Oryctolagus cuniculus: one gene and its partners. The protein of the gene in region 1 purifies or fractionates together with the protein of each later gene. This does not show direct contact. Links are inferred from orthologs where the notes say so. Each region holds a gene or a part of one and is shown on either strand. Other genes may lie near its edges.

Region 1 (9,914 bases):
TTGGGCCATCCGCCACCGCTTTCCCAGGCACCATAGCAGGGAGCTGGGTCGGAAGCGGAGCAGCCACACCACAGCAACAGCCCCCACAGGGAAATCTTTTGTTCTAAAGAAATGCCAGTGCCTAGCTCACTCACTCCCCCAGGCATTGATTGAACCCGTGTGGGGTTCCACCTGCACGGGAGGAGTTCTGGAAGCTCCCCCAGCGATTCCACTGTGTAGGAGAGGGCGGGAACCACCGGCCCACAGGTAACAGGCAACGTCACCACAGATGCCTCAAGGAACATCAGTCACGAACATCAGTCACAGAAACAGCGATGGGACAGCGGCAGCAGCAGACCAGTACGGCAGGGGCAGCTCTGGCCGCTCAGTCCCATACCCAGACTCCGACGCTTACTGTCTGCAAGGTAGTAAGGCTACCAAGGGTTAGGCTGTGACACAACATAAAAGACTTGGTTAAAAAAAAAAAAAAGATTAGTGAATAATCTGACATAAAGAAAAAATGATTTAAGTCATCCTCCCAGGTGACGAAGAGGATGGAGCTGCTGTGACACTGAGTGAGGTACAGGGAAGAGGAAACGTCTAGAACACAAACCAGGCTTCTTTTCTGTTAGAAAAACACTGCGTGTGTAGGTAAGTCAATACAAGATGTACCTGAAAGTACACCCAGAAAAGAGATGAGACAGGAATACTGATGATTACAGAAACCACGTGACGGGTATCAAGGAGCTCACTGTATTACTCCTCATAGACTTCTTACCTTCCAAAATAAAGTTTTTAAAAATACACCAAAGAAAACTAAACTAAACATGCTACTAACATAAAAAAAAAATTCCAGCCAAATAGTGGGGCTGGCACCATGGCTTAGTGGGTAAAGCTACTGGCTGCAATGCTGGCATTCCATATGGGCTCCGGTTCGAGTCCCGGCTGCTCCACTTCCCATCCAGCTTCCTGCTAATGCACCTCGGAAAGCAGCAGACAATGATCCAAGTGCTTGGGCCCTGCACTTTGGGGAACAAAACAGGAGATGGAAGATCTCTCTCTGTAACTCTGTCCTTCAAATAAATACATAAAGCTTAAAAAAAAAAAAAAAAGGGCCAGCGCCACGGCTCATTGGCTAGTCCTCCACCTGTGGCACCGGCACACCGGGTTCTAGTCCCAGTCCAGGTGCCGAATTCTGTCCCAGTTGCCCCTGTTCCAAGCCAGCTCTTTGCTGTGGCCAGGGAGTGCAGTGGAGGATGGCCCAAGTGCTTGGGCCCTGCACCCTATGGGAGACCAGGAGAAGCACCTGGCTCCTGGCTTCAGATCAGCGCGGTGCACTGGCCGCGGCGGCCATTGGAGGGTGAACCAACGGCAAATGGAAGACCTTTCTCTCTGTCTCTCTCTCTCACTGTCCACTCTGCCTGTCAAAAAAAAAAAAAAAAAAAAAAAAAGAATTCAGTGAATTTTCCAGAAAGTCTATCAACAAATAAACTGCTCCAAAAGAAAAGCTGATCAGCTTTCGCAAAGAGCCAGGTTGGAGCCAGAAACACCTGCTGCTCCCTTTTTTTTTTTTTTTTTTTAAGATTTATTTATTTATTTGAAAGGCAGAGTTACACACAGAGAGAAGGAGATTCAGAGAGAGAGAGAGAGAGATCTTCCATCTGCTGATTCACTCTCCAACTGACCACAATGGCCGGAGCTGCGCCGATTCAAAGCCAGGAGCCAGGAGCTTCTTCTGGGTCTTCCCATGTGGGTACAGGGGCCCAAGGACTTGGACCATCTTCTACTGCTTTCCCAAGCTACAGCAGAGAGCTGGCTTGGAAGTGGAGCAGCTGGGACTTGAACCGGTGCCCATATGGGATGCCAGCACTGCAGGCGGTGGCTTTACCCGCTTTGCCACAGCACCGGCCCCTGCTGCTCCTGTTAAACAGTGGAACCAAGCCTCCACCCCTCCTGATGCCCTTGGTGTAGACTTTCTCAGGCCCGCAGTTCCTCTGCCTGCACCATGGTGATTACAAGTCAGCTCCTTACTAACGATTAACTCAATACATTACAGCCACGGTGCAAGGGTCAGGCTGGCCCTGCAGGACTCCAATTTCAAGACCCCGGACTCACCCATAGCCTCAATGGCTAACATCCTACCAGTGGGCTCTGTTCTCAGATGTTGTGCAGGAACCCCAAGCCCTGCTCAAAGTAAAAACCAAACACCCAAAGACCCGCGACCAGCCAGAACCCACTGTGTCAGGACCATGTCTTAAGAACACGCCAATCCAAGGGAGGCCGCGAGGGCTGTGGGCCAACCAGAGGCCTGCACACAAGCTGATCACACACTGCTGACCCCCGTTTCAACCTGCAGAATTCACTGCCCTTCACCCACTGCCGGGAGGTCTGGGAATTGAGCAACAGGTGCTCGACTCCTGGTTCTTCGTGCTGCAAAATGAACTACTTCCTTCCACCGCCTCAGTGTCTCAGCTGGCTGCACGCTGGGCCAGTGGACCCAGTTTTGGGGGTTCTATAGCAATTTCTCCATGCAGTTTTGGGGGTGTTCTGTAACAACAGTGATGTTACCTTGTGCTTTGATGGGCCTTTGAAACAGCAAGTGCTGTGTGCTATTCCCTAAACATTAGAACCCTACACAGGAGGGAGGCATCAGTGCCCATTTTTTTTTTTTTAAGATTTTATTTATTTATTTGAGAGGCAGTCACAGAGAGAGAGGGGGAGACACAGAGAGAAAGGTCTTCCTTCTGCTGGTTCACTCCCCTAAATGGCCACAATGGCTGGAGCTGGGCTGATCTAAAGCCAGGAGCCAGGAGCCTCTTCTGGGTCTCCCGTGAGGGTGCAGGGACCCAAGGACTTGGGCCATCTTCTACTGCTTTCCCAGGCCATAGCAGAGAGCAGGATCAGAAGTGGAGCAGCTGGGACTCGAACCGGCACCCATATGGGATGCCAGCCCTGCAGACAGAGCTTAGCCTACTACACCACAGCGCCAGGAGTGGCCTATTTTCATAGGTTTCTCAGAGGCCCGTTCCACACTCCTTTCTATCCTTCTCATCCATAACCTACCACGTAAGGCAGCTCATGAGGGCACCTCAGAGGCCCCAGTGGTCCACTTTCAACAGCCTAATGAGAAGGTCACTAGTCAAACTCAACAGGAGAAAGTTTAAACACTTTTTCTTATCATCACCTGTGGAAGAGGTATGAGGTCAAACGAGAGCAACTTTTTTTTTTAAAGATTTATTTATTTGTTATTGAAAGGCAGAGTTACAGAGAGGCAGAGGCAGAGAGAGAGAGAGAGAGAGAGAGGTCTTGCATCCCCTGGTACACTCCCCAGATGGTCACAACTGCCAGAGCTGCCCCAGTGCAAAGCCAGGAGCCAGGAGCTTCTCCAGGTCTCTCATGCAGGTGCAGAGGCCCAAAGTCTTGGGCCACCTTCCACTGCTTTCCCAGGCCACAGCACAGAGCTGGATTGGAAGTACAGCAGTCAGGATTCGAACAGGCTCCCATAAAGGATGCCAGTGCTAAAGGGGGTAGCTTTACCTGCTACACCACAGCTCCAGCCCGGAGAGAAATGTATTTTTCTGCTATTTGTATGTAAACCCTGGGAGTCAGCCTCCCGGGGGGGGGGGGGGGATTCTGCAAGATAACATATACCAAGGGCCTTAAAAACAGATCTACAGTCCAAGAGTTCTGCTTCTAGGAAAACAGCCCAAGGAAACCAAGAATGGCACAAAGTACAGCAGTTCAGCCACCCCTGCCATGTTGGCACCCATACTGGAGGGCCAGTGTGATTCTACTTTACATCCAGCCTCCCCTAAGGGCAGGAGGTGATAACCCCAAGTGCTCAGGCCCTGCCACCCACGTGGGAGACCAGGATGAGGTGCTGGCTCCCGGCTTTTGCCTGGCCAAGCCCTGGCTGTTGTGGCTACTTGGGGGAGTGTACCAGCAGATGGAAGATCTCCCTGTCATCTCTCTGTCACTCTGCCTTTTTAAATAAATTAAAAAAATAAATAAGAGAGAGAGAGATGGAACAATGGGATAGCCTGCACAAAACTAAAAACAAAAACCTAATATTAAGAGAAAAATAATGGTTACTCATATCAGGCATTATTAGGGGCTGTAAGTCATGTGTTCAGAAAATCTTCAATAATATGGAGAAATGCCCCCTTTTATAAAACACTGTAGAGTTTAAAGAAATAAATTCACTGCAGGGGGCCGGCTCCATGGCAGAGTAAGTTAAGCCTCCACCCGTGGCACCAGCATCCCTTATGGGCGCCGGTTTGAGTCCCAGCTGCACCACTTCTGATCCAGCTCTCTGCTAATGGCCTGGGAAATCAGTGGAAGATGGTCCAGGTCTTTGGGCCCCTGCACCTGTATGAGAGACCTGGAAGAAGCTCCTGGCTCCTGGCTTCAGAGCAATGCAGCTTCGGCCTTTGTGGCCACTTGGGGAGTGAGCCAGTGGATGGAAGACCTTTCTCTCAGTCTCTCCCTCTCTCTGTAACTCTACCTCTCAAATAAATAAATCAAGCTTAAAAAAAATTCAGTGTAAAAATTTTTTAATAATGGCTGTTTCCAAATGCCAGTGTTAAAGATGTTATTTATTGTCTTTTCTGCAAATATTTGGTATTCTTTAAATGTATTAAGGTTGTATACAAATGTTACAATTAGATGGGACAAAAATTAGAGTGACATTAAGCAACTGGCCTGAACAACCTAGATGGCAGGTAAGCCTAACTTGGACCTTGGAATCCATTTTCCTTATATGCAGATGGCAATTTAAACAATCATAAACTCTACTAGAAACACAACCAAAGACATACACCGCTACGGACGAATATGCAGTTAGCTCAGGTCCCTTTAAGAGAGTACAAAACGCACGCAGACTTCTCCCCAAAAGCCACCCTGGCAAGACCAAAGCGCCAATCCCATCCTTGCGGAGGACAGAAGGAAGTTCCCTACCCCACCCTCTGACGGCTGGCTTCTTTGGTTTATCGGGAGCACACCAGACAGGATTGCAAACCCGGCCTTCAGATGGGTTTTGTCCCTGCCCTTTGATCGACTGTTCCCTGAATCGTGCATCCAAGACCCCACTTGCACCAGTTCCTCCGGTCTGCCTCTCCGGGAGGCTTCCGACTTGGATGCATCCCGCTGGGCTCACTGCCTGGTCCCCGTGGAAGTCTCGCTAAGGTGAGACAGAGCCACGGCAGTAAAAGTCCTTGGGCTCGGTCCCCCGGGGGCCAGCTCGCGTCCTGCGTGCTCCGAACTCAGGAGATGCCGCACCAACAAGTGCCTCCTTGCCCTCCCGGGGTCCCGAGAGTTCCCTGATGGGCGTCCGAGACCTTTGGGTGCTACTCCCGCCCGCCTCCCTTCTCCCCCGTCAGCGGTTCCTAACCGGAGCCCAGCTTTCCACACCCGGGATCTCGGAGGGCTCGCCACATGGATCGACATTGCACAAAAACGGGCACTCCCCGCCCACTGTCACAGCCGCCGGGGCAAGCCCGCGCGAGCCGGCTCCATCACCCAGAGCGCCGACCCTCAGCGCCCCCATCGGGGTCCTCCAGGTCTCCTTCCCCGCCAGCCTTGGAAAGGACCAAGGGTGGCAGAGGCGCCCCCAGCCAGGAAAAGGACCTGGCCGTCCCTCGTCTCACTCCCCCCACCGCCACCAAAGCCCTCCAAGCCCCGAGGCCCAGCGCCCGGCTGCCGCCCGGAAGCCTGGCTGCCCCGAACTTCGGCCGCCGCACTCCCACCCACCCTCGCGCGGGACGCACCAGGGGTCTGGGGCCATCGTGCAGTCTGCCAGCCGCCGCTCGGACACTTCCTGCTCGCCGCAGCTGACTACGGCGGCCCGTGTGGCTCAGTCCCCGCGGTGCTGTTCAGGACGCGAACGCAAACACCCAGGAGGACCTCCGGACGCTGCAGCAGGACTCGGGGAGGACAGAGCGCCCCTGGGCGCCGTGTGGGGTGGGGGTGGGGGGCGCGGCCGGCCTGCGGGGCGCCGGCACGGATGTGGCTGAACGGAAGGCTTCTCTCGGGACGGCGCGAGCATCTGCGGACGTCTGTCTGGCTGGTACTCGGGGAGGTTACTCCGTGTCTGGGGCGGAAGGCGGGCACGCGGTGGAGACGCAGTGAAACGCACCCGCGGCCCGCACCGCGGGGCCTGGGGCTCCAGCTCCCGCCCTGCCTGCTCCCAGCTTCGGGCTCAGCTTGGGTCCCTACCTGTCTCGTGGGAGACTCGGGCTGGGCTCCCGGCTTTGGCTTCCGTCTGGCCCAGCCCTGGCTGTTGTGGCCGCCTGGGGAGAGAACCGGGAGATGGGAGCTCTCTCTGTGTCTGCTTCTCTGTCTGCCTTTTACGGAAAAACGAAAATAAATAGAAAAAACTTTTGTTAGCTTTCAACAAGGCAAAAAGAACTGTGATGATAATTGCACACTGTATAAGTTTGTTAGACTGATTTATGATTCTAAGGGGGTTGATATGTAAGTATTCCAAAGCTGCTCTTAAAATCTTCAAGTTTTGTGATCCTGCTTCAAACAGCCCCGCCTCCATCAATTTTATATTATTTTATAGCGTCTACCGTCAGAAACGAACCTCCGTTTGTTAAATGCCATGGGGGAGGGGGAGTTGAGCATAGGTTCTTTGCAGAAGGGAAAAGGGAATTCATTCTGTGCATTTGGTGTCCCCCCTCCCCTGCCCCCTAAATTTGCAGAGAAATAGAGAAAAGAAGCCCCCTGTGCCTTGCAAGGGGGCGAACCAACTCCCCAGCTCCGCACACCTGGTGAGCGCACCGGCGTGGACCCGGCGCGCATGCGCGCGCTCGTTGCCATAACGACCAGGCGACGCCGCACCCGCTGGGGCTGAGACTGGAGGGAGCCGAGGGAGAGCTGAGACGTGTGTCCCGGAGATGGACGACCGAATGTCGCCCAAGGCCGACGTGGCCGAGCTGGAGCTGGCCGCCGTGATCGGCTTCAATGGTGAGCGTGCGGGGCTGCTGGTGCGGGAACCCCTGGTCCGTGTGACTGCAGCCTCTCCCGCCCAGGGCTCCCACAGCTCCTGGGGGGCTGGCGGGTGGGTCGGAGTGGCCGGCCCCCTAGGACAGCGCTTCCCAGCCCACGAAGCTGGACCCCTGCGTGACCGCCGGCCGCTGCGTGCGTAGCTCCGGGACCCACTATAACCAAGCGAACTTCCGAGCCCCGTGCTGCCGATGGGGGATCTGGGGACGCTACGTGTGTCCATGGTGAGGGTCTCAGAAGGAAGGGGTGGGGGCGAGCTGGAGCGGGATTAGAGCTTTATCAGAGATTGGCCTTGCCACTCTGCTGTGTCTGCCTTCTGCCTTGAAGGGGGAGAAAAAAGGGCTGAATATATATATATATATACATACATGCATATATATATTTTTTGCTTTTGTTTAGAGGGATGTGAAAAAGCAGTGGACTAAATTTTAGGAAAAGCAAATCCTTTTTACAAAGTGTTTGGTAATGCCTGAAAGCTTGAAACTTGTGATAATATAGATGCAGAAAAATCTGTATTTACAGTGTAAGCACATTCCAGGACTTAGCTCTCGATTCTCCACTGGAACAGGTTCAGAGGGGGAGTGGGCCCTCCACACATCCGAGAGGTGCTGGCTGTCGTTGGAGCTGGGTGCCAGGCCACAGAACAAAAACTCAGGGGTCTGCATTGGTTTGCAGAGGGCAAGCCATGCACGGGGCCCTGCAACTCCACAAACACTGCTTTACAGGGCTCGGGGAGCCAAGTACATGGCAAATTACATCCCGGTGTCTTCCTGTCGATGACTTCTTTTGCTTCTTAGAACGGCCTGTATTGGTGGAACTGTTTCCACCTTGTTGGTTTCATGATAATTTATGTTCTTTCATGGACTCAAATATGCATTCCTTGAGGAAACACTACATGCCAAATGGAATGTCATGGACTAAGAATGCAGAGAAATAATCCATAGTTGTGCTTAAAAAGAGCTTACAAAACTGGAAAAGTACAGTGAAACTGAAACACCAACCATCATTACACCAAAAGGTGTCGCTGTTATGGTATGACCCTTTCAAATATACAACTTACGTATAAATATTTTTAACTGAAAATAGACTCATGCTATATATATTCTATTTTTTTAAATTTGTATTTATTTGAGAGGCAGAGTTACAGAGACAGAGATAGACACACACACACACACACACACAGAGGGAGAGATCTTCCATCCACTGGTTCATTCCCCAAATGGCCACAAACTCAGGGCTGAGCCAGGCTGAAGCCAGGAGCCAGAAACTTCATCTGTAGCTCCCACAGGTGTACAGAAGAAACCCAAGCACTTGGGCCATCTTCCACTGCTTTCCCAGGTGCATTAGCAGGGACCGGGATTGGAAGTGGAGCAGCCGAGATTTGAACCAGTGCCTATATGGGATGCTGACCCCTCAGATGGCAGCTTAACCTGCTATACCACAGGGCCGGCCCCTGTATGTACTCTTTTTTTTTTTTTTTTAGATTTTTTTTTCATTTGAAAGAGTTACAGAGAGAGGTGGAGGCTGAGAGAGAGAGAGAGAGAGAGAGAGGTCTTCCATCCACTAGTTCATTCCCCAAATAGCTGCAACAGCTGGAGATGAACCAATCCAAAGCCAGGAGCATCTTCTGGGTCTCCCCCAGGCATGCAGGGGCCCCAGGACTTGGGCCATCTTCTGCTGCTTTCCTAGGCACGTCACCAGGGAGCTGGATTGGAAGTGGAGCAGCTGGTACTCGAACTGGTGCCTATATGGGATACTGGTGCCCATATGGGATGCTGGTGCTGCAGGCTGGGGCTTTAACCCATTGCGCCACAGCACCAGCTCCAATTCTAACTAGACCTTTTATCACTTAACACTAGGTCACAATTTTAGTGTAATCTTTAACAATCTTGTACAGATATACAATACTTCATTTATTTCCATGTTATTAAGAATTAGAATAATTCCCTTTTTTGCTTTTAATTTTGAAAAGCTTTTTCTTATTTGTTTACTTGAGGGACAGACAAAAGAGACATACGGAGAGTTCCTATCTGCTGGTTTACTTCCCAAATGCTCACAACAGCCAGAGATGGGTTAGGGCAAAACTGGGAGCCCAGAACTCAATGCACATGGGTGCCAAGGAACTGATTACTTGAGCTGTCACTGCTGCCTCCCAGGGTGCACATTAGCAGGAAGCTGAGGCCAGGAACCAGGATTCACACCAGGTACTCCAATATAGATAGTGGGCATCCCAAATAGCATCTTCACTGCTAGGGTAAATACCCACATTGCATTTATTTTAAAATGCTACAAAAAAACATGCACATAGCTAAATCTTTTGGAACTCGTAGGAGAATCTTAGAAAAGTTTGGGAGAAAGAGTCTATTCTAGGCTTGAAAGAGGTCAAGGAAGGATTGACCTTTTTAAGATTTGTTCATTTATTTTATTTGAAAGGCAGAGTTTAAGAGAGAGAGAGAGTGAGAGAGAGAGAGAGATCTTCCATCCTCAGGCTTACTCCCCAAATGGTCCCAGTGGCCAAGGCTGGACCAGGCCCAAGCCAGGAGCCAAGAACTCTACCCAGGTCTCTCGCATAGGTGGCAGGGGCCCAGTCACTTGGGCCATCATCCTCTGCCTTCCCAGATGGATTAGCAGGAAGCAGAGCTTCTTCCTCCACTTGGCTCTTGTGCCATGGGGGTTTCCAAGAAGATGGCACTAGAGCCGAGAGTGGATTGGGTAGGAGTCAGTGGGCAAGGAGTGAGGGGCAGAATAATCCACTAGCAGGAATAAGGGAGCAAAAGGAGGAGACGTGGAGGGTGGGGCCTGGGTGGGGAATGGCACATGGCTTGGTGAAGCCTCAGCATCAGGGACTGGCAGCCAGGCACAGGAAACTGAGCCTGGGATTCGCTGTCAAAGGCCTTAAATACAGGTCACTGAGTTAGATTTCACAAGGA
Region 2 (9,914 bases), on another chromosome or scaffold:
CAAACTGAGAAGCCCCAGCCTGCAGTGCGTCTGCACGGTCATCTAACTCGGAGAGCTTCTGGTCTCTTTCTAACACCTTATCCACGTTGACTCTCATTATGTCCACGACCTACGGGAACACAGGCGCAGCAAGTTCGTCACGCGTCAGGAGTGGGAGAACTAGAATTACAGCTGTGACGTGCTGGCACATTTCTTCACATCAGCCCTTTATTACTTTGAATCTGACTTTCACCAAACAAAAAACAAAACAAAACAAAACAAATTGGGCCCACCCTTTCATGATGAAAACACTCAGAAAACTAAGGGAATTTCCTTCACAAGATAAAGGACACTCTCACCAGTGTCACACTCGGGGTGAAAGACGGAGGGTCCCCGAGATGGGGAGGAGACAGACACCACTTTCCCTGGTGCTGCTCTACGCTGTGCTGGAAGCTCTGGCAGAGCAGTCAGAAACGATAAAGAAAAGGCATTCACATTGGAAAGGAAAAGTAAAACTTATCTCTATTTGCAGATTCCTGAAGAATCTACAACACAAGTACAACTAACAAATTTAGTAAATCTGCAAGGTACAAGATCAACACACATAAATCAGTCATTTCTACACATCGGCAATGAAGAGTAGAACAATTACATTGACAACATCATCCAAAAAGTAAAAAATCCTAGGAATTAACCAAGTAGGGAAAAGACTTGCACAATGAAAACCACAAAACATTGCTGAAAGAAATGAAAGCAAATCCAATTAAACAAGGCATCCTATGATCACACACTGGAACTTAATACAATATTGCTAAGATGGCAATAGTCCCAAAGTGCTGTGCAAGCTCAATGCAATCTCTATCAAATTCAACATTTTTTTTTCTTGAGAAACTGGAAAGCCAGTAACCAAACCGTATGGAATTGCAGAGCTGAAAAGGTGAAGCGAAGCTGGAAGGCTCACACTTTGCAATTTCAAAATTTACTGCAAAGCCATGATAATCCAAACAGTGTGGTATTGGCCACAGAACAGACAACACACAGATAATGGAACAGACCTAGAGTCCGGAAATCAGTCCAAGCATTTATGGCAAACTGATTTCTGACAGGACCATGCAGGGGGGGGAGAGAACAGTATCTACAGGGGCCGGCATTTTGGAGTGGGGGGTAAAGCTGTTGCCTGCAATCGTCAACATCTCAAATGGGCTCCGGTTCGTGGCCCAGCTGCTCCACTTCTGAGCCAGCTCCTCTCCAGTGGAAAAGCAGTGGAAGATGACCTAATTGTTTGGGCCCCTTTACCCATATGGAAGACATGGAAGAAGCTCCTGACTTCAGCCTCGCCCAGCCCTGACTGTTGTGGCCATCTGGGGAGTGAACCAGCAGATGGAAGATCTCTCTCTCCCCCTCTCTTCCTCCCTCTATACTCTTTCAAATAAATAAATAAGTCTTAAAAAATAGAGTAGTATCTTCAGCAAATGGTGCTGGGACAACTGGACAGTCACATGTAAAATGACTGGACCCCTACCTCACCTCACATATAAGAATTAACTCAAAATAGATCAACCACCCAAGTGTAAAAGCTAAAAGTACAAAAGAAGCAAAAACAAGAGTGAGTATAATCTAGGGTTTGTTCCTGTAAGATCTGATACAAAAATCAAGGGCAACAAAAGGAAAAAACAGCTAACTTGGATTTTGTAAGAATTAACTTTTGTACCTCAAGGGACTGTATGAAGAATGTAAGACAATCCACAGCACAGCAGAAAATATCTGAAAATCACGTATCTGATGAAGGTTTAATATGCAGAAAACATAAAGAACAGACACATCAGCCAAGACAAATCCAATTAAAAACTGGACAAAGGCCTGGAACAGCCACTGCTTCCAAAAAGTCACACACAGAGGCCAATAAGCACAAGAATAGATGATCAATGTCACAACCATCACAAATGCAAAGCCAAGCCAGGACGAGACTCCACCTCAGGCTGCCTGGGCCGGCTATCGTCCAGCACGGGCACAGTCCTGGTGAAGAGGTGGGGAAGCCCCTGGGTGCTGCTGGGAACATGCAGTGGTGGAGCTACTGTGGCACACGGTGTGGCGGGTTCTCACGGAGCTGATAGAGAAGGGCTTCAGGACCCGGCAGTGTTACTCCCAGGTATGTGCTCAAGAGAAACGAAACAGAAGTCTAAACAAAATCTTGTTCGTGAACGTACACGGCAGGATTATGTGTAACAACTCAAATATCCGTTATTGCACGCATGGATAGACACACCACGGTCTCACACACGACGGAATATCATTCAGCCATAAAAAGGAACGACGTGCTGATCTCGCACTGGTCAGATGAACACTGACACATAACGCTGAGTGAAAGAAGCCAGAAACAGGTCTCGTGGTACCCGATACGCCCGAGCAGGCCATCCACTTGCACAGAATCTGATTAGGTACCAGAGAATGGGAATGAGGAACAGAGATAAGTAAGCAGGGTCACTATATGGGGACGGGGTGCTTTTCTGGGGTAAAGAAAAAGTTTTGAGACCGGAGAGAGCTAATGGTTGCATAATATTGTGAATATACTAAATACTAATAAATTGTACACTTTGAAATAGTTAATTATGTTCCACCTCCATTAAAAAAGGAAAGAACTCTCCTTAAAGTTTCTGAAAAAGGGCTCTAATTTGATTTTGTTAGGAAGCAAAAGTTAAAGGCAGCACAGACTTAGCAGGGGTCTCTAAAATGTGAAATGTTGAGAATTAAGTTCATAAACAAAACCATCAAACATTACTACACGATTTAATGATGGTATCTAACATAGTTTTAACTCTGTTTTGTAGGGTAGCAACATACAGAAAGACCAAAATATCTTTGTTGCTCAGTAGTAACTTCGGGAATAAGGAGATCTTGGTCTGAAATCGGGAACAACCTTGTGCTGCACTCCTGCATCTCTGAGATTCTGTGAACAGGGCCAGTGCCGTAGCACAGGCGGTACAGCCAGTGCCTTACGGGCTCCGTATGAGCCCCAGCTGCTCTCCGATCCAGCTCTCTGCTACTGCCTGGGCAAAGCAGTAGGTGGCTCAGGGCCTTGGGCCCCTGCACCCACGTGGGAGACCGGAGAGAAGCTCCTGGTTCCCAGCTCCGGGATTGGCTCAGCTCCAGCTGTCATGGCCGTTTGGGGAGTGAACCAGCAGGAAGAAGACTGCTCTCTCTGCCTGTGCCTCTCTGTAACTCTGCCTTTCAAATAAATAAATAAATATCTAAATAAAAAAGATTCCGTGGGCTGGCGCCGCGGCTCACTAGACTAATCCTCCGCCTTGCGGCGCCGGCACACCGGGTTCTAGTCCCGCTCGGGGCGCCGGATTCTGTCCCGGTTGCCCCTCTTCCAGGCCAGCTCTCTGCTGTGGCCCGGGAAGGCAGTGGAGGATGGCCCAAATGCTTGGGCCCTGCATCCCATGGGAGACCAGGATAAGTACCTGGCTCCTGTCATCGGATCAGCGCGGTGCGCCGGCCACAGCGTGCCAGCCGCGGCGGCCATTGGAGGGTGAACCAACGGAAGGAAGACCTTTCTCTCTGTCTCTCTCTCTCCCACTGTCCACTCTGCCTGTCAAAAAAAAAAAAAAAAAAAAAAAGATTCTGTGAACATCTATTGCTCAAGAATTCTAGGGAACTGGCACTGTGGCCTAAGCGTAAAGCCACCATCTGCAGTGCCAACATCCCATAAGGGCACCAGTTTGTATCCCAGCCGCTCCACTTCCGATCCAGCTCTCCGCTGTGGCCTGGGAAAGCAGCAGAAGATGGCCCAAGTGCTTGGGCCTCTGCACCCATGTGGGAGACCCGGAAGAAGCTCCTGGCTTCTGTCTCCCTTTCTGCCTCGTCTTCTCTGTGTATTAACTCTGACTTTCAAATAAATAAATAAATAAATCTTTTTTTTAAAAAAAAGAATTCTATAAATACGGATGTGTTGAGCTGCAGTTTGCCAGAGACTGCCTTCTGTGTGTCAATGGGCAACTGTCACAGATGAATTCTACAGAGACTTGCTCAGACTGGGTAATGTGTAGGTCAGGCTAAAGGACAGAGCGTTTTGATTTAAAAATACATGTATATCCATCAGAAGGACTGGTCCTGGCATGAGCAATCTTAGACCTAATCCTTAAAGTTCTGTTACTTTTTTTAATAAGACACTTTTGGGGCATGCCCTCAGGGAGACTGTTTTATGTACATGATTCTATATAGGTTCCCGGAGAGTCTGACTTTGGCTTAGATTAGGGCAGATTCACTACCTTTATGATAACTCAACACTGATGTTCCATTCACACCTTTACGAGAGTTTTTCTAAACAGAATTATCTTCGGCACGCTGCCATGTTTGTTTAAATCTACGTTCCCAGCATTTCGAGCGATACCTCATCCACTTGGTTCTGCGTCTGCTGAAGTCTTCTGCTGCCGGCAGCAGCGCTGGAACCTGCAGGTGCACCCGTGGACCTGGAACGCGGAAAGGCACAGCATGAGTCGGTCAGGAATCCCAATACAGTACTGTCAGCTTTAGGATGCGATCCCATTCCCCAGGACTCCAGTGCGGACAACGCTCACATCACAACCAAAGCGAAAGAGAACCCTGCCTGTAGACCTGAACAGTTCCTCCAAGATTACCAATTTGCCCACATCCGAGGGACCGGAGTCCAGGAGGAAGGCTCGGTAGAGTCTGGTACACAGCAGCGACCCCCAGCCGGGCACACACACAGGCCGCTCTCGGCACTCAGGACTCCCCGGGCCCTTCCACTGCGGCAACAATGCTTTCAGAGGAATAAGAGTTCCGGTGTCTCCTAATAGCGACTCATTTACAGACACAGCGTAGGAACACCGGGCGGGGGGGGGGGGGGGGGGATGCCGTGGAATGTTCGAGAATGGCGAGGAAGCATCGCATCCTCTCAGCGACCGACTCATCCTCCAAGTCTCCCTCTCTTGGCCACTGCGGCCCGGAGCTCCCCTAGGGCTTGGCTGGCGCCGGACAGTCACCAGTCACCTCTCTCCTGACAAACCACGGGCTCCTGGGTCCTAGAATTCTCTCCTCCGTGTTCAAGAATGCCTGGAGTGCTGGCGCCGCGGCTCACTAGGCTAATCCTCCGCCTGCGGCGCCGGCACTCCGGGTTCTAGTCCCGGTCGGGGCGCCGGGTTCTGTCCCGGTTGTCCCTCTTCCAGGCCAGCTCTCTGCTGTGGCCCGGGAAGGCAGTGGAGGATGGCACGGGTGCTTGGGCCCTGCACCCCATGGGAGACCAGGAGAAGCACCTGGCTCCTGCCTTCGGATCAGCGCGGTGCACTGGCTGCAGCGCGCCGGCCGCGGCGGCCATTGGAGGGTGAACCAACGGAAAAGGAAGACCTTTCTCTCTGTCTCTCTCTCACTGTCCACTCTGCCTGTCCAAAAATGATAATAATAATAATAATGCGTGGAGCACCTGCCTCGCCACACAACATCAGTTATTTAAAACCTGCCGCGCGTCAGCAGCCGGGGAATAAGGCAGATCCCACGCTGTTCTGCGTGGAGTGTCCGCGAGAGCACGCAGAGGGCCCACGCCCCGCGCGGGCTCCTTGGATCCTAACTCTTTGGGGTGGGGGGGACACTGCCGATGCCCTCAACACGAGGTTTAGCAGTCACTCCAGGGGGCATTCACCGGCTCCGGGGGTCCGCGGGGCTCTGCTGACCAGCACAGCGGCCTCCCCAGGGACGTCCCACGGGCGCGCCCCTCGGGCGCTGGGCTGGTTTTCCCCGCAGGGGTTGCAACGAGGGGCTGGAGGCGAGACTGCCGGGGCCCTGCGATGCTGGACAACCGAATCTGGAAACAGCGGTCTCCAGGGCCGCAGCCCCAGGAACGCATTCGCTCAGGAGCAGCAAGGCCCCGGCCAGGCTGCCGTGTCCCGAGGCCGCCGCTCCCGGCCCCGCGGTCGCCGGCGCTGCTCTTGGGGACCTCGCGGGGCAGGGCCGGGCTGCAGGGCTGGGCGCAGCCACTTCCTCCCGGAAGCCCGCCGGCGGCAGGGCCCTGGGGACGGCCGGCGGCGCCGCGGCGACAGCTAGGCCCTGCCACGGCCCGCACTCCCGCGGGCGCTGCCCGCCGCAGGCCTCGGAACGCACTCAACGCCCTCACGGGCTCGGCCCGCGGCGGAGGGGCGACCGGCAGGCAGCCACCGGGCCGTGCGACGGCTCCCGCCGCGGGCCGCCGCCTGCGGGCCCCGAAGCCGCCCCGCGCCCCGTCGCGTCACTCACATTTTGGCAGCGGCGGAGGCGCGGACGGCGGGGCGAGAGTCCTCCGAGCTGCGCAGCCCAGGACCTAGGCTCGGGGATGGGTGGGGTGGCGCGGCGGCAATGACGTCATCGGGCGCGGCCGGGCGCGCCGGAAGTGGGCGCCCACGTGGGCGGGGCCAGCGCGAGGCGCCGTCTGCGTCCTAACGCCGTCGGCGGGGCCTGTGGCGGCCGCCCCGGGCCACTGGCAATGGCGGCGTGGGGGGGCCTGGCCGCTGGGGACGCGGTCAGGGGGAGCAGGCGGTACGGGACAGGGACTGTCTGGGCGAGGGCGGGGCTCTGTACGTTCTTCCGGGTGTTTTCGTTTGTGACCGGTGTCTGTCAGCGCCCGCCGCCGGCCGCGCTGAGGGGCGCCCGGGTCGAGGCGGAGTGTGAGGTGGGAGTGGGGAACGCAGTGCCGGCTTGGCCGCGTCTGTCACGTGAGGAAGGAGCGAGCGCGCGCCCCGGGTTGGGGTCGGGGGTCGGGCCGGGCCGGCCGCGCTGGGCACGCGCCGGGCACGCGGCAGCCGGCGGGGCCGGGGGCCTCGAGGAGCCGGCGGGGGCCGCTACGGGCGTGGGACGGTGCCGGCGCGGACGGCCGCTGGCCGGGACACTGGCCCAGGGCTTGGGACTTCAACTGCAAAGCTGGGCGTCTGCAGGACTGACTCTCGCTCAGGAAGGCGTCCGCCCAGCGCTGTTCGGGATCACGGGTTGGCATTGGGAACCGGCACGTGCTCACCCCCTTGGATTCCGGGAACGGGTCAAGTTAAAGCAAAACACGGATAGTATGGGGAAATTTTCTTCATTTTTAATTTACAGCAGAAAGAATATAAAGCATTCAGAAAACATTTTCCATATTTTAAGGGCAATTCAAAACATTTTGCATGGTTTCCAGCAGCTGAGTTCTTCAACAGATCCATTGATTCAATGATGCTTTACATGCACAATTACAAAAATAAAACTTACAAAAAAGAAGACATCTAGACTAGTTTTACATGCAAGTCTCAGGGACCCCCCGTTGGGCGCCAACTACTGTGTGGAACTGCCAGAAGCGACCGTGCAGCCAGAGAGGGGGTTCGTGTTATTGTCTTTTATTTCGTTCACACAGTACAGCTGATTTCGAATGGGTAACGAGAATAGCAATTAAATCTTCAGGAGACAGAATAAGATTAGCTATTAATTTTATAATGAAATCCTACTCCTGGCACTTGGGAATTCAGATTATCCAAGAAAGCTGCGCTTACCTATCATCTTATATTCGAAATTAAGGTTCACAACCAAGAGAAAGCGGTCAGAAAAGCTTCGATTCAGTGGAAGTGCGTTTGTCCCTCACCGAGGATTCACAGTTGGACTGGTAGGTCGGAACCTACTTCCCATCCCCTCCGTAAGAGCCCTCCCAATTCTGTGTAAGTCTCTAATCTGGAATTTTCTAACTTACTCAGCTAATAATGTAGCATGTGAAACATCTTTTGAAATAAAAATAGTGTGAGGGTTAAAGCAAATCCACTGAGGTCATTACTCTGGTCAGAGATCAGTTACTGTACCGTAATCAATGGACTGAACATCCAGATCCAGTGTGGATAGAGGGTATCCCGGAAGAGCTGGCTTTCACATTCCCCGTTTATGAATGCGACTGTGTGTTCCTGGAATACTCAGCGTCCTCCTCTAGGTCAGACCGTGTCAAACAACGGGGATCTGGGGGACCGCACAGCTGCGACGTAACCCACACATTTAAAAACAAAATGGAGTCAGGTCGTTTACAAATGTACAGGTGGCTACTCATTGTGGGGCTGTCACTGTTGTCAAAGCCAGTCACAAAGCAGAAAGACGTATACTGTACAGTAATTCGAGGTTGGCAGTGAAAGGAAGTAATTAAAAAACAAGTACAATTATAGAAAAGGCACCAAGAGCACTGACCCCAGTTTTTACCACAATCTTTTTGTGTCCACCTTCCTTCTGAGACACCAGTTTAAAAGCTCATTCGCGAATTCTGATAGGCTTCACAACAGGCCTCGAGTTCTCAACTCACAGTTGGCAACTGGAACCGAGAGAAAACACCTCTGCCAACGGATGCTCGGCCTCGCCTGGGCATTTTAAACTGGCGTCAGCAACGCGAACTTCATTCTCTCAACCTTGGTAGTTTAATTTGTAAAAGCATCAGATTTCTTTGGCTCCTCGTTATGTGGAAAGAGTTAAATACCATGACGTCCCTTACAGGGCCAGTCTGCATCTTTTTCACTTTTGAGTTATTTGTGTGTGTGTGCAATTTTCACTTCACTTTCTGGTTTCCAGCAGGAGATATGAAAATGTGACATTTCCCTACTTTGCATTCCGTTTCTTTTTGTCAGGTTTTGATCGTTCTGAGTGTTCTTTGTTGGAGTGGATGGTGTTAGGCTATTTACTGATTTCTCTTATGATTATCTGTTTTGCAAAATTAAATTAATTTTCTTAAGCAATATTAGCATTCACATTACTTGGCACCATTGGCAAAAAAATTTTAAATAAAATAAACTAAACTCCTGGTAGCCAAAATTAAATGTAAACATATCCTTTTTTTTTTTAAGTAATGTTACTCTGCCTTTTTTCCTAAGTCTAAATACAGTAGCTCTTTTTTTTGCAGTTTAGTCATGCTTTAGCAAAATGTTCTTCTAAAGAACATTTAAAATAAAGTACTCTTATAGTGAAATAAAGGATTTTTTTGTTTCATTTTACAGACCATAGCCACTAATGCTTTGCTTTTGTTCATTTCTTTTTTCTTGATTTCATGCACATATCTCTTTGTTTTAATATATACAATATATACAAACAATACATCCACATTTTTCTCGCTCATTCAGACAAAACTATACAAATAATTTTATCTTGCCATGTTATTGACCTTTGTGAATAAAATATTTAGCAATTAATATAATCCCTTTCAAATATTTTCTCACTTTTCATTTCTACCCTCTGTATATACACAGACACCGCTCCGCTGGATGAGATAGAGCCAAAAACATGGAATTTACTGGCCAGAACGCAGCACCACACTGATCGTTTAGGTGGCAAATGTCCAGGCAAGGTTTATGATTCCTTAGAAGTGCTAGTTTCCAAGGTTACTAAAAAAGGCTACATGCTTTCCCAATTCTTAAGTAATTCTCATTGCACATGAAAGTAAGGCAAAAAAATTAAAGTGCTGAACATGAGAGAAGGGACAAGACAGTTATTCGCAGGGCTTCTGGGAGGTGGTGGGGACAAGAAAATAAATTTAAACTCTGTGAAGCTGTTTCTTGTTATTTCCCATGCATTACCCGTTTGCCACACACCCGCCCCTCTGCAAATTTCCACAAGACATTAAAAACCTGCAGATTTTAAAAGTTGCATTAAGTGTGCTGTAGAGATTAAAACAAACAAGACAAACGAACAAAGAAACAGTGAAGGAAATGAGAACACACGGACCCGATACAGACTGTATGATCTGAGCCCTCCACTGAGAACCAATCCCAGAGATCCACCTTCTTGGCAATGACCGACAGGCGCAGGCACGGCATCCTTGCTGCTGCTCAGGTAGCCCCACCTTTCCTTAGCTGTATTTTTGGTATAAATATTTGTACAGTTCCACACGATGTTTGAATGCAGCCCTGTATGAGAAGGAAAACGGCTTCTTCTGAAGATGAAGCCTCTTCAGTTCC
Region 3 (9,873 bases), on another chromosome or scaffold:
TAAAGTAATGAAATACAAATTGAAAGTTTGGGGGCCGGCGCTGTGGCGTAGCTGGTAAAGCCGCCGCCTGAAGCGCCGGCATCCCATATGGGCGCCGGTTCGAGTCCTGGCTGCTCCACTTCTGATCCAGCTCTCTATGGCCTGGGAAAGCAGAAGAAGATGGCCCAAGTGCTTGGCCCCTGCTCCCTTGTAGGAGACCCGGCAGAAGCTCCTGGCTTTGGATCAGCTCAGCTCTAGAGTGAACCAGCAGAATGGAAGACCTCTCTGTCTCTTTCAAGTAAATAAATATAAAACATTAAAAAAAAAAAGAAAGAAAGTGATTGTTTCTATCTAGGAAAACTAAACTAATAAAGGTAAGCAACAAAAATAACTGTGTAACTAGGCATGGGTATGACAGATCTCTAAAATCTGGGGCAAAGACTGCATAAACTCTAGACAGACTTAGCACTTTATTTTTTTTTTTTTTCAATTTTTTTATTTATTTGAAAGAGTTACAGAGAGAGGTAAAGACAGAGAGAGAGGTCTTCCATCCAATGGTTCACTCCCCAGATGGCTGCAACGGCTGGAGCTGTGCCAATCCAAAGGCAGGAGGCAGGAGCCTCTTCCAGGTCTCCCATGTGGGTGCAGGGGCCCAAGGACTTAGGCCATCTTCTACGGCTATTCCAGGCCATAGCAAGGAGCTGAACTGGAAGAGGAGCAGCCGGGACTTGAACTGGTGCCCACGTGGGATGCTGACGCTTCAGGCCAGGGCTTTAACCTGCTGCACCACAGCACCGGCCCCAGACTTGGGAAAGAGAGTGAGCCTGTATCATGGTATTGTTTTGTGTTAATGGAAAAAGTGATACAGGTGGTACAAAGCACCACACGTGAGGGAAAGGTTTTCCTCTGGATTAGTCTGCTAGGGATAACATACCAAATGACAACAGGCTGGGTGAGAATGCAACTTATTTTCTCAGTTCTGAGGCTCAAAGTCCCCTCTCCCTAGACTGTAAACATCACTGTGCTTTCGTGTGCCCATGCACTCAGGCACTCAGGCACCAGGCCTATTGGATTAGGGTTTTACTCTCACAACATGAGCCTTAGTCACCACTGTTCTAAAGGCCCTGCCACACTTAGTCACATTGTGGGTTAGGGATTCAACATACGAACTTTAAGGGGACACAATTCAGTTCGTCACACTTTCCATGCCAGGCTCCTAGTTCTCTTAGTGTGTAAGATACTTAAGTGTTTCTGTACACTGCATTTCTCACCTTAAATAGCACATCACAGAAATACCCCCATGTTGGCGGGTGTAGATTTATGTAGTTCATTATAGGGGCTTATGACTATCCCCATGAATGGATATACCATGAGTTATTTCAGCAATTTTCTATTGTTGGACAGTTAAAGGCTTTTATTTTTTTTAAATTTTTTTTCTGAGTCTTGCTATTATAAAAATCATGTAAAGAATATAGAACACTGCCGGCGCTGTGGCATAGCAGGTAAAGTAGCTGCCTGCAATGCTGGCGCTGGTTCGAGTCCCAGCTGCTCCACTTCTGATCCAACTCTTTGCTATGGCCTGGGAAGGCAGTAGAAGATGGCTCAAGTCCTTGGGCCCCTGCACCCACATGGAAGACCTAGAAGAAGCTGCTGGCTCCTGGTTTCAGATCGGTGCAGCTCCGGCTGTTGTAGCCCACTGGGGAGTGAACCAACAGATGGAAGACCTCTCTCTGTGTGTGATTCTTTCAAATAAATAAATCTTTTTTAAAAAAGAATATAGAACATTTATATACAGCTTGACTGTTGATGGGATAAATTTTAGAAGTGGAGCTATTAGAACCAAGCAACTTCATATAAAATGTAGACACACACTATTACTCTGAACTTGAAAAAACTTTGCATGAATTTGTACTGTCATTATCAGTACAAATTCATCATTAACAGCGTTAGGAATACCGTTTCTCCCACTTGACCCCATACCACCATGCACATGCAACACTATATTATCCAACTTTTCAAGCTTTGTCATTGAGCTAACACAAAGGATCAAATCGTCAAACCAAACTCAAACAGATCCTACCTCTTACCCAGTATCAAACTATACCAATAACTTCAAGAATACGAACAATCAAAAGGTAGAAAGGGCAGATCCAGGACTCAGTGCTACTTCCTAGGAGCTTTCTTCCTGTTTCAGATATGTCTTGGCAAAGGGTAAGATGTGCTAAGTAAGGTGTGCAGTCACCCTACTCCTACTTACACAGGAGACAACTCAGTTACAAAACATCTCCATTTTATGCCAAGTTACAAAACTTACATGGTATTTTCCCAGGAGTCAATCCCCTGAAATCTACAGATCCCTGATGTGTTTACCATTAGCAATCCTAGCCCAGAGAAATTCCACTGGTATGGACTTTCCTGCTAATAAATATCAAGTTTATTTGCCAGAAGGTTTGTCATTATCGTATATATATGAATTTCACATTTGTTTGCTTGGTAGCAGTATTTCCCTATGGTGAGAATGGACTGCAGATCTGTTTAACTCCTCCTTTCCTAGTCACTGATACATGAAGAGTGGTATTTTATCTGTTTATTTTGATTCACATTTTTGAGTGACGGTTGAAATTTGCTCACATGCTTGTATTTGATTTGCACTTCTGCCTCATGACAGACAAGAGCAACAAAACGTTGAAAGCTGTTAAGTAGCTGAATCAAGTTGCACACCTGAGAAATAGATTCTAATCAGGTCATGGAACAACCTGATTTACACAGCTAAAGTTCACGTAAGGTTCAGGAACTGGAAGTGCCAGGTAATCCTGGAAAAGAGCATGAAGTGGGCTAACAGGAGGAATTACAGAAAATATGTTTAAGAATTGATCAGATGCTCATATTCCCATCCCTATCCCAGCCAAAGCCCAGAGATTTAGTCTTGGCAGAGGGCAACACATAGGTTCTCTAGTTACAATGACACTGGGGCCCTTTAGGGGTGAAGGTCTTACGTTGAAAAAGAGTTGGAGACTAGCTTTTGGGCCAGCAGTTAAGACACCACATCCCATATCTGAGTGCCTGGGTTCGAGGTCCCCATCACATTTCTGACCCTAGCTTCCTACTAATGCATGTCACTGGAGACAGCAGGTGATGGCTTAACCACGTAGGTGCCTACCACCCACATGGGAGTTCTGGATTGAATTTTCAGCTCCTGACTTTGACCTGGTCCAGCCCTGGCTAGTGTAGGAATTTGCAGATGGAACCAGCAGATGGAAGATCTCTCTCTGCCTTTCAAATAAATAAAAGGAATTTTTTTAAATGTGAAGAAAAAGTGAAGAATTACCGTCTCCATAACTGGAGTTCATGAGAAAGAAAACAGGGGAGGAAATAATATAATTCAGGTTGGCTGGAGTCCTGACTCTAAATTCAGTGTTATTTATCATCTTTCAGGTTTACTGGCATATTGGATTCATGGTAACTGTAAAACGACATTTTCTAAGTTTTCACACATGTTAGGGAAATCAAAGGGACTTTGTTCAAGTGATTAAAGGTGAAGTTTGTATTTTCCCTCCCGTAAGCAATCATACCAAAAAGACTGGCAGATCCTTTTGGTTAAAAGACTAAGAGGCCAACGCAGTGGCGCAGTAGCTTGAGCCACCACTTAGGATGCTGACCACCTGTATCAGAGCACTGGTTGGAGCTTCCTAGCTGACTCCCAGCTAACTTACATAGGAAAGCAGCAGAAAATGGCCCAAGTACTTGGGCCCTGCCACCCACGTGAGAGACCAGGAAAGAGAACCCAGCCCCTGACTTCGGGCTAGACCAGACCTGGCTGTTAGAGCCATTTGGGGAGTGAACCTGTACAAGGAAGCTCTCTTTCTCTGTGTCTCTTCCTCTGTCTCTGACATTCTTACTTACAAGTCAAAGCATTTTTTAAAAATCTAAAAAAAAAAAAAAAAAAAAACTAAGAAAAAGAATAGATTACTCACAAATAGTACAGACACAAAATCACTTCAGAGAAGAACTAATTTCTGGGTTATCCGTGGAGGCTGGGACAGAAACTACAAGAGGCTTCCATTCCAGATGGACCACTTTTGTCCTCATCAGTAGCGAACTCCAGCTCTTGAGGGAGCCCAACCCCACTGCTCGCAGTCTGTGAACATAGCAAACTAAATCAGAATCTGAGTAGTGCCCGGGCACCAGTAGTTTCACAAGCCTTCCGGATACGGCAACTCCAGGGGCAAGCCTTAGCGGCGCCTTTTCAATTAGTGCATTAAGTCAACCACACAGAAACAGCAGCAGCATGTAAGAGCGTGTCTACTTCCTCCTCTCCCTGCGTGTCCCTTGGTCCTCTAAGCCACCTTCCTCTTCCCATTCGACTTCCTCAGCCTGGGGACGGATCTCGCACAAGCACCACCTAAAGGTCTTACCGACCCCAGTCACGAAGCTCCGAGCCCCACCCTAAGCTACTTCTCAGCGGCTCCGACACCGCTCCCCTCGCGCCCACCACGCACGCCTGATGCGCGCCAGCACCTCGAGAACCACTGTTCCTCCTCAAAACACAGCATAGCTTGGGTATCCAGATCTCAGACGGCTGGAAGGCCAGAGGTTCTTCGGGGTTAGACGCAGCGGGCGGAATCGACTCCCTCGGCGATCGCCGCGCCCTGGGCTGCCCCCTCCGCCTGCAGCCAGGCCGCGGAGCGCCGATCGGCTCGATGAGCGGGGGCGCAGCTGCGGCGCAGCGGCCGACGCCGGGTCCGCGCCCACTGTCTCCCCCTCCCAGCCTTTTCCCTCGGCTTCCCGCTCCTTCCCCCGCCCGCCCAGCGCCGCCCGCTCGGGAGAGCTGCCGGGAGCTCCCCGGGAGCCTCAGGTACTGGCGCCGGCCTCTTCCCGGCGGGAGGGGCTGGTGTGAGGAGGCAGGAAAGGAAGACGACGCCCCTGCCCCACGGCCCCCCAACGTCCGGGTCGGGCTAGGCGGGCAGGGGTCTAGGGGCCGGGGGCCGAGGAGCCCTGAGAGGGAAGGGGTTGGGGCCGGGGTCGGTGACGGGGTGTGCGGATGGGGGGCGGTTGTGGAGACTGGAGGTGAGGGGTGCGCTGGGGAGATGGGAAGAGAAGGGTGCGTGGATGAGGAAGATTTGTTCAGAGCGGGAGGTAGCTGGGGTGAGTGGGTGTCAGGGGCAGGATGGGCCCGAGTTAGCAGACGTGGGGGTCCGTGGCCTGGTGCGATCGCTGGAGTAAGGGGAGCTGCCTGTTGGAGGCTATGGAAATGGTGCTTTAAGGAAGGGCTGGGGCGAAAACACCAGCCCGTGTACGTTTCTAACCCCGGAAGGCGGGGGTCGGGCAGTACACTTGACAGGTTGTATGAATAACATCTCCAGTGTGTCCAGCCAAGTCTCTATTTCTGAGAGAGGGCAACCAAAGCTGCTGAGAGATGGGAAAGAGAAGTCAGAAAGGGATTGGAGGCTGGGAAAAGGAAGGCTGCTCAAATTCCAGCTTTTGTGAACTGAAAAACATAAATGGTGTGTGTGTGTGTTTGGTTTTCTTTGGAAAGCAAAAAGTCAGCATTTATTAAGCAGCAGATTAGAAGGTTATTACATATAAAGCCACGGAATAGAGAACACACTACAAAAATGCGTACATGAGGTTTTTTACCTGTGATGATGATGTAAGAAGTATAAAGTGTTGTGACATTTTTAAAGTGAATTGTGGAGTGGTGCCTGTCCTCAGTGTGGCAATACATAATGGTGGCTGCCTCATTTACATACAAACACCTAAATTCACAGGTATTTTTGTAGGAGAAATCTTAGGCAGAATATGTACGAATCCAATAGCTGAGCGTGGTTTATTTCTACTAGTTTGATACAAATATCTGTTGCCTTGTGACTCCTCAAGCATAGCTAATTAATCTTCCTTCTGGCTTTTCTGTTTGTCAGACATGATTTCTTGACTTTGTGAGGTTGATTCTTGGAGAATGGGACCTCGAAGGGGGTTTGCTCATCATTAAGATCTTATCTTTAGGTCTCATAAAGGCATTTTACAAGTCTTGCTTTGGGGCTGCTGAGGCAGCCTCTTTGTAGGGTTTAAAATATAAACAAACACATGAGAAAAGCTCAAGTTTCTCAGTTATTTGCTTTGTCATCTGTTTTTCCATGCATTCTGCAACATTCCTGCATGGATGAATTATTTGGAAATTGAAATATGGGGAATAAATGGACAGGACGTATGTGACAAAAACTGTGAATTGAAGAACTCTGGAACTGTTACTTAGGTGGCAACACTGGTTTATGTGACAAGTGGTTGAGTTTCTAACTTGGAAACATTTCTTTTCAGTATTTTTTTTATAGGAAGCTGGCTCAAAATATTTATTACCTTTATTAGGTCTTTGAACCTATACCCTGGTCCTTTTTCTTTCTTCAGTGCCCAACATTAGCTAACAAACTAATGCCTAACAATACCTAATTTAAAGATCTTAAATTCTTATGAAGAGGGAACAGGGCTCCTGGATTATCATGGGAAAATGTGTTTTCCAGGACAGAAATGTGTAACCTAATTGAGTAAATATTGGAGCTAATTATGGGGGCAGGCATTTAGCATAGTGGTTAAGACACTGGTTAAGATGCTTGCATCCCACATTTGAGTGCCTGAGTTCCATTCCTGGCTCCAGCTCCTGGTGTCAACTTCTTGCTAATGCACACTCTGGGAGGCAGCAGAGATGGCTGAAATGATTGGGTTCCTGCCACACATGTGGGAGACGTGGATTGAGTTTCAGGCTCCTGGCATCAGCTGGTAGGGGACCATCGTGGACATTTTGTGAGCAAGTAGCTGGGAACATGTTCTCTCTCTCTCTGTCTCCCTTCCTCCCTCCCTCTCAAATAAGCAAAGAAAGCTGATAATGCACAGCTGTCGAGCAATTTAGGTTTATGTCTCTGCTATTTCAATGACTGAAATGACAAACACTGTTATTTGTATTTACTAAGCCTTATTTTTTCTCTCAGTTTCTTAGTGCCTACTTCAAAAGAGTATCAAAGATTAAAAGAGAAAAATGCATGTGTATGGCTGAGTGCAAGGTGCAGCCCATAGTAAATAACATTCAGTACATCTTAGCTATTCTGAATTGCTGTATATTCACCCATCAAGTTCAAAATGCTGAAAATTCATATTTGCATAGGACAGCTTTTTCTGCCAGAAAATTTTAATTATATTGCATACTCAAGCATATTCCTAGAAAGTTACTATGCATGTTAACATGTAAGGGGCTGAGATGGTTCTGTAGCAAAGACTGGAGCTACTTACCTCAGTTCTGATATAAGGAAAACAAACACAGCTTTTTTTTTTTTTTTTTTTTTTTTTTTTTTTTTTTTTTTTTACTGTCTCATGACACAGAACACTTTTGTGACCCTAGAATTGGGGGGGGGGGGGGCAAACAATTCTTTCATAGATTATCTGGTGGACACCAGCTGGGTGTCCTTGAATTCAGTTTAGTTCTGGCACTGTCTACCTGGAGATAGCATCAGACCCCACAGATTGAGAGCCCAGCCCACAAGGCTGCCCCCACTTCAGAGGCCGATCTCAAGTCCCATGTTGTTTTACATGTGCTTCTGATCTACCAACTGTAAATCAAGGTGGCCATAATCCTCCCCTTGGGTTCAGTGAATTTGGTCGAGTGGCTCATAGAATTTAGGGAAACACATTTCCAGCTTATAAAAGATATTACAAAGGATACCAAAGAACAACAGATGGAATGGAAGACACGCTCAGGGCAAGATATAGGAGGAAGTGTGTGGAGCTTGCATGCCTGCTCCAGGCCTGCCACCCTCCAGGAATCGCTGTATGTTTCACTGTCCTGAAGCTCTCACAGACATGGGCCTGTTGAGATTTTGTGGAGGCCTCATTAGTAGGCTTGATTGATTACATCATCACTGACCACTGGAGATCATCCCAACCTTCAGCTGTCTCCCTAGATAGTATAGGTTGGAGCTGAGAAGTCCTAATCATGGCTTTGTCTTTCCTAAACCTGCCACATCCTAAGGTACCCATGATTTGCTAGGCACCAGTCATTTTGTAGCATACAAAAGGCACTGTTAACACTCTGGCAGATGCCAAGTGCTTTAGGAACTGTATGTCAGGGAACAGGGTTGAGACCAAATATAAAATATATGTTTATGTGTATGCACACATAAGTCCTAACATCACACCAGCACTTACAAGCATCACTTTTCGTGGAGCACCAATGGTACACCATAATTTGCAGAATATTTCTGTATGTATTATCTTATTTGACCTTCCCAACTCCATGCCAGAAATCACTATATTACAGATGAGGAAACTGCACCATTGCTTAAACAACCAAATAAAAGTGAGAGAACTAGAAGTGTACTATCATCTTCTGACCCTAAAGCATTTAATGACTCATTTTCAGAGGGCTGCCTCATAGTTTTCCCCTCTGTTTGTTCTTTCATTTTATACAAGCCTTAATTCATTTATTCCCTACACGTGTTCTCTTAGGGCAGTTACATTTATTTGCTCATAGAGGCCTGAGACACTGGAGTGGAGCAAGTGAGAGGGGTGTGGTTGAAGTTAGAAAAATGAAGGAGGCCCCCTTATTCCAGGTGTCTCAACTCTGATGACATTTATTTTCTCTTTAAGGTGGTGAATACTTGCTCTGGTGGGAAGTAGAAGAGTAAAATATGCCTCCCAAGTTCAAGCGCCACCTAAATGATGATGATGTCACTGGTTCTGTGAAAAGTGAAAGGGTAAGTTCACAGTCTTAAGTTCAGAAAGGAATGATTCCAAATACATTCATTCCCTTTGTAAATAATAGAAAAAAACTAATGTTTATGGTCACTATAGGGACAGAGAAGAGGTGATCCTTTTCCTGTCCATCGTAAAGGGTCGTGGCTGACACCCCTATTACAGAAGACAGGTTAACAGGAGGAAAGCATAACAAATTTATCTGATCTTAGTTCAGTATGACTTGAGAGTCTTCATATTGGGGATCTAAAGATCCCAGGTGAACTACCCATTTGACGCTTAGGTTCTGTGAAGCATGTACGGCTATGTAGAAATATGATTGGGTACAAAAGGTGTGATCTAATAGAAATAGACTGGGGAGCAGGGAGACCCAGCTGGGCATATGTATTCAGATTCTCCTTTCCTTGCCTCCAGGTGTGAAGCAGGACCCTTTCTGGAAAGGGGGTCAGGTGACCTGCATTCAAACAAGATAGAGAACTTGTTCGTGGCTAACTTATACAGAAAAGTGGAGGGAAATTTAGAGTAATACTGTTTTATGATGACTTTGGGGTATGGAGATTCTGGTTTCTATGACTCACTTTGTGGAAGAAGAAGTCTAGTTTCTGTGGCTTGCCTGAGGGAGAGGGGTGAGAGATGGTGGGGTGGGAATGGAAGGTGATAGTGAGGGAGGGTTCATGAGATCAGAAGCTTTGCTCCTGAGGCCTTCACTTTGGGGTTTTCTGAGCCAATACTGCATTCTAATCTTGCTTGTTTTCTTCATAGTAAACATGTTAAAAAGTTGGTATGATTTATATTTGCAACTCAGTTATGCTCAAATCCTTATGCTCACAGCTTCTTTCTAGTTTTTCAAAGGAAATACGCAGTATCTTATTCAGACCTCTGGAGCCAAATGTATTTGGCATTCAGAACTTTTCAGATCTTAAGTGCATATTATGTAGTATCTTTTTATAGTCAGGACCAGTACTTCCAAACGTATTACTATTAATGATTACCTAACTAAATATATACATAAAGTATATCAACAAATCAGCTAATGTCATTTCAGATCAAGCTTTCTTTCAAATGAGTTCTGATACCATACTTAACAACCTTTTGGTTTTCAGAACTTTTTCAGATTTTGCAATTGCAGATAAAGGATTCTGTACCTACAATCATCTC

Evidence for each region.
Region 2: the proteins of STX8 (region 1) and VAMP3 purify together in Homo sapiens (co-immunoprecipitation; 3 studies listed by BioGRID and IntAct, with this or other methods). This does not show direct contact. The link is inferred for Oryctolagus cuniculus from reciprocal best matches to the Homo sapiens genes STX8 and VAMP3.
Region 3: the proteins of STX8 (region 1) and VAMP4 purify together in Homo sapiens (co-immunoprecipitation; 3 studies listed by BioGRID and IntAct, counting the BioPlex papers as one, with this or other methods). This does not show direct contact. The link is inferred for Oryctolagus cuniculus from reciprocal best matches to the Homo sapiens genes STX8 and VAMP4.

The regions. Positions count from the first base shown.
Region 1 is NC_091448.1:53,881,878-53,891,791, forward strand, and holds the start of STX8 (syntaxin-8), read right to left. Parts: upstream 6,224-9,914; 5' UTR 5,762-6,223; coding exon 5,745-5,761; intron 1-5,744. Other genes in the region: CFAP52 (cilia- and flagella-associated protein 52), read left to right, coding at 6,876-6,945. UniProt on the Homo sapiens protein: Vesicle trafficking protein that functions in the early secretory pathway, possibly by mediating retrograde transport from cis-Golgi membranes to the ER.
Region 2 is NC_091438.1:159,931,756-159,941,669, forward strand, and holds the start of VAMP3 (vesicle-associated membrane protein 3), read right to left. Parts: upstream 6,384-9,914; 5' UTR 6,231-6,383; coding exon 6,229-6,230; intron 4,452-6,228; coding exon 4,373-4,451; intron 110-4,372; coding exon 1-109. UniProt on the Homo sapiens protein: SNARE involved in vesicular transport from the late endosomes to the trans-Golgi network.
Region 3 is NC_091438.1:26,787,978-26,797,850, forward strand, and holds the start of VAMP4 (vesicle-associated membrane protein 4), read left to right. Parts: upstream 1-4,613; 5' UTR 4,614-4,834; intron 4,835-8,610; 5' UTR 8,611-8,651; coding exon 8,652-8,717; intron 8,718-9,873. UniProt on the Homo sapiens protein: Involved in the pathway that functions to remove an inhibitor (probably synaptotagmin-4) of calcium-triggered exocytosis during the maturation of secretory granules.